Linked DNA regions of Nothobranchius furzeri. The protein of the gene in region 1 interacts with the protein of each later gene in a biochemical or structural test. Links are inferred from orthologs where the notes say so. Each region holds a gene or a part of one and is shown on either strand. Other genes may lie near its edges. The genes, in order: msh4 and msh5.

The links.
Region 2: the proteins of msh4 (region 1) and msh5 form a complex in vitro, tested with the Homo sapiens proteins (2 studies listed by BioGRID). The link is inferred for Nothobranchius furzeri from reciprocal best matches to the Homo sapiens genes MSH4 and MSH5.

What each region holds. Positions count from the first base shown.
Region 1 is NC_091758.1:32,017,676-32,021,599, forward strand, and holds the start of msh4 (mutS protein homolog 4), read left to right. Parts: upstream 1-1,168; 5' UTR 1,169-1,290; coding exon 1,291-1,498; intron 1,499-1,614; exon of another isoform or gene 1,615-1,659; coding exon 1,660-1,791; intron 1,792-1,891; coding exon 1,892-2,055; intron 2,056-2,138; coding exon 2,139-2,249; intron 2,250-2,336; coding exon 2,337-2,452; intron 2,453-2,518; coding exon 2,519-2,692; intron 2,693-2,759; coding exon 2,760-2,932; intron 2,933-3,016; coding exon 3,017-3,084; intron 3,085-3,185; coding exon 3,186-3,260; intron 3,261-3,344; coding exon 3,345-3,409; intron 3,410-3,481; coding exon 3,482-3,651; intron 3,652-3,738; coding exon 3,739-3,875; intron 3,876-3,924. Other genes in the region: vcpkmt (protein N-lysine methyltransferase METTL21D), read right to left, coding at 52-308. UniProt on the Homo sapiens protein: Involved in meiotic recombination. Required for reciprocal recombination and proper segregation of homologous chromosomes at meiosis.
Region 2 is NC_091745.1:79,204,683-79,208,606, forward strand, and holds the start of msh5 (mutS protein homolog 5), read right to left. Parts: upstream 2,715-3,924; 5' UTR 2,519-2,714; exon of another isoform or gene 2,428-2,518; intron 982-2,427; 5' UTR 978-981; coding exon 876-977; intron 792-875; coding exon 668-791; intron 560-667; coding exon 479-559; intron 220-478; coding exon 166-219; intron 43-165; coding exon 1-42. Other genes in the region: SPRY domain-containing SOCS box protein 1, read right to left, coding at 3,182-3,312, 3,389-3,924.

The DNA.
Region 1 (3,924 bases):
CCTCGAACAAGGGTGCAAAATAAAACAAAAAAACGCAATCATTGATCTCACCCAAGTGTTGCTGCCATCAAACCCACGACTCCTGTCCCAGCTCCCAGCTCCACCACCGTCTTTCCGGACCACACGTTGACTCCTGAAGTCGGCTCGTAAAACTGTTTCGTCTCTAAATACTTAGCGAGAACAATAGCCGCGTCCCAGACCACACAACCAACATCCCCTATGTAGCACTGCTTCAGCCTTAAGCTACAACCGTCATTTTTCTCAATTTCTCTCACGAAATACTTGCTGTCATCCGTGTTCGTCGCCATGTTGGCTCAAACCGGAAATGAAAACAACTTCCGGTTCTTGATTTTTCCTTTCAGAATAAGAGCCTTGTGTAGCGTGCTCCGTGCACATTTGAAATTGAGATTTTGAGAAACATTTGGACTTTTTTATTATGTGGATTACCGACACCGAAGCTAACAGACACGATGGCTTAAAAAAACACATTTTCTATCATCCAGCTTCAAATTATGTGTTTTCTGTGCTATTTAAAACGATCAAAAGAAAAAAATGTATATTCTCCTGGTACAAAAACACAGTTAACTTTATTTAATCAAAGAAAGCTTTTACAAAACATAGCATGCGTTTTAATGTTCCGTCTTTTAGTGTAGGATAATTTTGTTCTGTTTGCGCCTGAGTGTTGTATTTTTTGAATTGCGTTTAGTGCAAATTTTTACAAACATAAGTTTGTAGTTTCTAATCATGTCAAAGATATACTATTAGTAGTTCAAGAGCAATGAATACCCAACTACATCTAATAAACACAAAGACATTCAAACAAACATGTAGATTACTTTTAAAATGTACACATTTTGTTTTAAACAATAATCCTTGGGGTGTTTACATTTAACAATAAAAATATAAAATCCTGACATAAATTAAATAAAACATCCGTTTTTTAGTATCTGTCTTTCTATAGTTAGGAATTTCCCACCCCCCACTGGAGACAAGTAGTTTCTACAGGCAGCGTTCATAAAGCTAAACTAGACATTACACTATGCAAATTATTATTAGTTTGCGGTAATTATGATTATTTATTTATTTATTGACATGCGCAGATCAGATGCTAACTGGTGAACAGAGAAGGGTCGCGCGCCCATTTAGTTTAGTCGCTAGCTAGCAACAAGAGTTTTTTGTTTGTTTGATTTGAAAAAAAAAACTGTTTTACAGTTTGTTTAAGCGTAAAAATACATTTAACAAGTAATAACGATATATCGGTCCATTATCGAGTGTTTTTGAGGTTTTAAAATGTATCACAGCAGCACAGAGGAGGTAACGAGTGGTGACGCCTCAGAACGTGGACAAGTCCGGAGGACAGCCGCGAGCAGAGGACCGAATCAAACTACCACTTCTTCTTGTGATCCAGCATCACTTTGCTCAGCTCTTTCTCCTCAAAGTTCAGATGAGAGCATATCTAAATCAAGTCATGGTCCAGCCCAACCGGGAATGGCTTCAGGTGACTGATTTAAAACAGAAATTTAAATAACCAAATTTATTTTAAGTGACTAGAAGTTAGAGACCACTAGCTTTGACTTGGCGTCAACAATGAAGCTACAAGGTTACATTTTGTATTTGTGTTTGACTTTATGAAATAATAACAGCCTTGTCTTCATGTAGGCCAGCATCCTAACAGCTCCAGGGCTGGGAGGACAGCTTCATCACTCCTCGTGTCCACCTCAGACAGCTCCTCTTTTCACTGTGGAGAAACACCAAGAGTCAGAAGGACACCAGGTTCTGCAGGGCCCACAGGTTCTCACCCAACACCACCACCACTGCCTCACCCAGCCGGAGCATCAACCCAAAAGTTTATTTGGAGTTTTGCATTTAAAGCATTCCCCTTTCCCCACAGGAGCCAGTTGCTCATCAGGATCTACAAGCTCTGGTCCCACTGTGATTGTAGCTGTGGTTGAAGGCCGTGGTTTTGCAAGGGGAGAGATCGGCATGGCCAGTTTCAACCTGAAATATCCAGAGCTTGTACTTTCTCAGTTTGCAGACACAGGAACATATGCCAAGGTAACTCAGTCCATATACTACCAACACTGGAAGGAGAACAGAAGATACAGGAATCATAGCTCCACCGTCTTATTTTTCTGCAGGTTATAACAAAGATTCATATCTTGATGCCAGTGGAAATATTGATGCCAGACACAGCCAGTGAGAAGGGAAAAAGGACCAAGCTGTTCAAACTGATCACTGAGAATTTCCCGGTACAAATATTTAACTCGTGGTTGCGGTGAATTAACCCAGGATCATCTCATAACCAACGTAATTATTTATTTACTTTTGCTCATCAGGGTGTGACTTTTACTGCGATCCAACGGAAGTATTTTAATGAAAAGAAAGGACTGGAGTACATCCAGCAGCTGTGTGCTCCAGAATTCAACACTGTCCTGATGGAAGTGCAGGCCAAGTAAGTCATTCATGCACAAAAATAAATCAGCAGTTTTTTATTTGCTCTGTATCATCATCTCTTTAGGTATTACTGCCTAGCGTCTGCAGCTTCTTTGCTGAAATATTTAGAGTTTCTCCAGAACTCTCTTTATGCTGCAAAGTCACTCAAAGTGAGCTTCAAAGGGAGTGAGCAGACAGCTATGATTGACTCGGCATCTGCTGCTAACTTAGAGTTAGTGGTCAACAACAGAGACCACAGGTAAGAACGAATCGGCTTTAAACCTGTTTTACTCTGTGATTCTGTGTGTTTTTGTTGCTTTTTATAGGAGTGAACAGACCCTTTTAGGGGTCCTCAACCACACAAAAACCCCTGGTGGAGCCAGAAGACTTCGCTCTAATATTCTAGAGCCTCTAGTTGATGTGGATACGATCAACATCCGCTTGGATGCCATACAAGAGCTCCTGCAAAATGAGGAGCTCTTCTTTGGACTGAAGAATGGTCAAGAGATGCAGAAAAAAAAACGTTTCGACTCGCTCTTTTACTGTTTTTACATGTTAGTGACACAGTGTTTGCTCTCTTTAGCCATCGGCCATTTCCTCGATGTTGACCGGCTGCTGTCTGTTCTGGTCCAGGTCCCAAAGCAGGAAACGGTGAGTCCTCTAGTTTCACGCTGCACAGTAAATATTTGTTTCTGGTTTTTAACTTTCTGTGTATTTTATGGATTTTTAAGCGTCGCATGTTTCACTGACAGGTTCAAGCTGCTGAAGCTAAGATTACACACGTCATTCAGCTCAAACACACACTGGATCTGGTGCCACAGCTAAGGGTCTGTAACTGTTGCTATTTGGTAAAAATGTAATCGTCCAACAGTTAATATAAAAGGCTGATTACGTTTTTAATTACTGCTCAGACGTTGTTGACGGACTGCAGAACATCTCTGCTGAAGGCTTACAGCGCCGCGCTGGAAGACAACAGGTATCGAGCTGTTTTTATAATTCTGTAAAGTCGTTGGTTTTACCGCTGTGAGCTGTGTCGTTCCTGGTTTAGATTCGACGTGATCCTGGAGCAAATCAAGACGGTGATAAACGACAACACCACGTATCTGAAAGGCAGCCTGAACATGCGCACCCAGAAGTGTTACGCAGTGCGCCCCAACATCAACGAGTTCCTCGACATCGCCCGCAGGGCCTACACGGAGATAGTCGACGACATTGCAGGTGTTTGTGCCGGATGTTGAGTGCGTGGTGTCGCCTTGTTGTGTTTTTGTATCATGCAGTCGTAGCGTGCATCGCTGCTCCGCACAGGGCTCGTGAACCAGATGGGAGAGGACTACGGCTTGCCGATGCGCACCAGCTTCAGCACAACTCGAGGTTTCTTCATCCAAATGAAACTCGACGGTGTTGTTTTGCCCGAGGGCAAACTTCCCCCAGAGTTCATCAAGGTGAATTATCGTGTAACAAAATTGCACCAAGACAGCAAACAGACCAGAA
Region 2 (3,924 bases), on another chromosome or scaffold:
GCAGGTGGGCAGAGAGAAGCCTCTGTTTACCAACCTCCAGACCTGTAACGTTCAAAATCAAAACCCTAATGAAGTGGTTATTTGTAAAAAACGAAGACTGAACAGAGAACTACAGCCTGGCAATTACAGGAGGTGTATAAATATTGCATTAGAACAACCATTTACCAAAGTCTGCATATGGGTAAGTTACCACCTCTGGCTTGTAGTGTTGGTTGGAATCTGAAACAAAATCAGACTAATTATAAAAATGTGACTAACAGATGCCCCGTTTTTATTTGTTGTTAAGGAGGCTCAGTAAAGATAAGGAGGAGCACCATCACAATCACTCTTCTTCTTATCACTGTGTCAAACATCCTTAATCTCATTAAATTCCCTTGACCCAGAAACATCTCGTTCCACATCCCTTCAAAACAAAATGCTCTTCTACAGTTTCTGACTCCGCTTAACCAACCAAAGACATTTGTTTAGCGGCGCTCACCGAGGCTTTGTAAGTAGCGAGTCAAGCACCGTTCCTGCTTTGCACTGGTGATGATTACCTGGGGCTTAACCTCCTCAATGACTGAAGATTAAACAACATTTGACGTACATTACAGTCAAATAACAGAACAAAGGAAAAGTAAAGCTTGGTGAGTGTGATGTTTCTATTGGAAGTAAGTGAATAATTTACCTCTGGCCAACAGGTGAAGATCGTGGTTGTCAGGAGTGTCAGCCATGTAGTGTAGAGAGGAGTCCTCGCTGTCGTAAAAGCAGAGACCCACCTGCCCATGATGCACCAAAACACTCAACAAAACCTGGAAACAAACACGTTAATTATAAAGTTTTAATGCTAATTTTGAAAGCATCTAGAAATCCACTGGTATCTGCAGCCATTTTACCACATATATGTCAGTTTCTTCCTCTTCATCCTCATTCCTGCCAGGGCCACCATAAACCATCACTCTCCCTCCTTCTCTTGAATGTTCTTGAGCTGCTGCCATAATTCTACACAGAATGGTTCATTAAAAGTGATATTAGGCTCATTTTTGAGTAGTTTATCTGGTCCTCTAGTGAATGTTAAAACGTTTTATCACTACTGACTAGATTGGGCTCTGTGTTGCTGTCAAATGTGTTGTTTGTAGTAGTGTAAGCCGAAAAAGTAATCATTTCTATCAGAACTACATCCCACTGCTTCCACCAGTCTGTAACCCTCAAAAACCAACTGATCCTCAGAGAGTCGAAAGCTGTGGGTTGTAATCGGGTCACAGTTCAGTTCTGATAAAAATGATTATTTTTCGTAGTCTACCTAGCTAAAACAATCCACAATGGCAGGATATTCCTCGCACGTCGTTAATTCGTTCCTCGCCCACCACAACCAACGGGTACTCCTCGCCACTTTAGCGACTTTGTAGTCCCTCCAACTTTTCTTTTGAAAATTAAATACAAGAAACAAAATACAATATGGGCAGGACATTTAAGACATACCAAAACAAAAATATAGTAAATCAGACATATTCAAACTAAAAATAACAGTAGTAAAATACTCATTTGCATTATTTACTCTTCTGAGGCCATTAAAGCTACAGAAAAAGGTTAATCTATTCTTTGGACATCCTCTTGGGTAACCAAACACTGCCATGTGAACTGTTTAGAGAACCTTTAATGATTTACAACCTGATTTTTAATCATTTTTCCTCCTTTTTATTATTATCCTTTAAAATTAATTTTTATTGTTTACTGTGCCTTGAGATTTTATCTAGAGAGGCGCCATATAAAATCTTTCTTCTTCCTTAAAGCACGATGTATGCGTTATAATCTACTATGATACAAATTATTAACATAGTAAAACCTGATACTAATTTGTAAGCCAGTGGTTCCCAAACTTTTCAGCTTCAGACTCCCAAATAGAGCCTAACTAGTCAGACACATTTACATAAGGCTCATGTGTCCCCGGAAATAAGAAAAAATGAATGCAAGTCAATGAGGCTATTAAAATTAGTTTAAATTTGGGGAAATTACCGTTACATCGTGTATACTTATCAAACCTTTAAATATATGTTATCTCAGCATCGGTTATGGACAGATTAAGAGTGGTCCTAACATAGATATCATGTATATTAACTATGGGTCCTAAACCCCAACCGTAGGAAAGTACGCCATTTTCTAAGTCACATATGCTACACCGGAAGTAGCGCTGAAAGAGGTTGAACTTCATATCTGACGTTTAAGTAAACCTAAAAAATCCGAAAACTAGTCTTATTTTGTTATTTAGTTTTAATAACTCATTACCTACACTTTAATTGTTGTTAAAAAAAGTAACTTCATTATTAAGTGAACGTCGCAGCAGTTAGCTAGTTGATGCTAGGTGAATGACATACGCTAGTCTAATTTAGCAAGATATATTATAAATATATATTTATTGCAGTATCAGACTACATAACATGTACTTACATAATTAGTTGGGACTTTAGTAGCGACACCTACATCTCATACATACTTTTTATTTTATAACAGCTTGCATTGGGAGATTAGCTCAACTTACTATAAATGTGCAGCTTGCCACGTGCCTTGTTTCAGCCCTCTGTTTCCATGGCAACGGGACCATCCGACTAAGTGAGTAAGCTTGGGAAAGCCCAATGAGAATGATATACATATAGTTTTACATAGCTTTACTTTTATGTTGACAAAATGAGCTTGGGAGCTCATATATGGGTAGTTAAGTGCATTTATCCTAATATTGATGCAGTCCACCACCACCCCCCCCCCCCCCCTTTTATTTTTGTTTACAGGTAAATTCACCATCCACAGCTGCATAATTGACAAAATTACAGTCAGGTGATCAAATTCAAATAATTATTTGCATCAACAGATATGACTATTAACACAAATAATGAATTATGTGAGTACCTTTTCCGAGCTATACAATGTCAGTAGCCTGTAGTGTTTTGTAAACAAACAGCAAAACAATGAAATTGCAAAAACATATTTTATTATAAATTTAGGAAACATATTGCTTACACAGTAAGGAATTTGCAAATGCATTCAAAACGTTATCAAAATACCATGCATCACAAACAAAAGATACAACTAAAGAAATAGTTTTTTGAAAATGTCATATTTATATCAAATCAACCAGAAATGCCTTATTTGGCTTTAATGCTGTAAACGCTAAAGCATGCTGATTGCACGTGAATGTTCATGAAAATTAGAAACAAGAAAGCAGGTAACGCTGGAGGAAAGGTGGAAGAGGCAATTTTTCAGCTTGGTCCTGTCGTTGCTGTCCTAAATGCTGACAAATTGACAGTCCACATAAAGCCATCAGGGCTGGAGGATTACCTAAGAAAAAATGGACAAATGTTAAGTATTAAAGCATTTTTAAATTATACAGTTTATTTTAGTTGGTGATACTCACTTGTGGTGCCGTTAAGATAGCGCAATCGTATGCTGGCTCCTCCTCTCACACTGCTTATTGCTGGGAAGAGTTCTACTCCACTAGGAAGGTCCCTAAAAGCTACGCCAAGGAAGCTTCCATCAACAAAATACCCCAGAGTCCCTGCATCTGCATCCAGGACCAGCAGGACACGCTCGGGAATGAGAAGAGGGCCTTCTGCCTCCTTTGTGGAATGTGAATTAGAAGATTGTGGTCTGAAATTGTTTGCAGCCCCAGAGCGACACCTTCTACTTTTATCTGGGTAGCACTCCAGAGTTTGCCCACCGTGCCAGAGCTGATTGGTCTTAAGCTCCCATCCCCAGGAACGTGAGTCTCCTCCCACCAGAACTTTATAACCAGAGTCGTGCAAAGGACATTCCTGCCTTGAGATCCCTATGGCTGCATGACTTCCTCTGTGTTTGAGGCTCCACGTTAGCTCCCACACATGAAGCCCACTCCTCACCCCCATCTCTGCCCTCGCTCCATCGCTGCTGAGCTCAGCAGGAGATCGTGTCGCC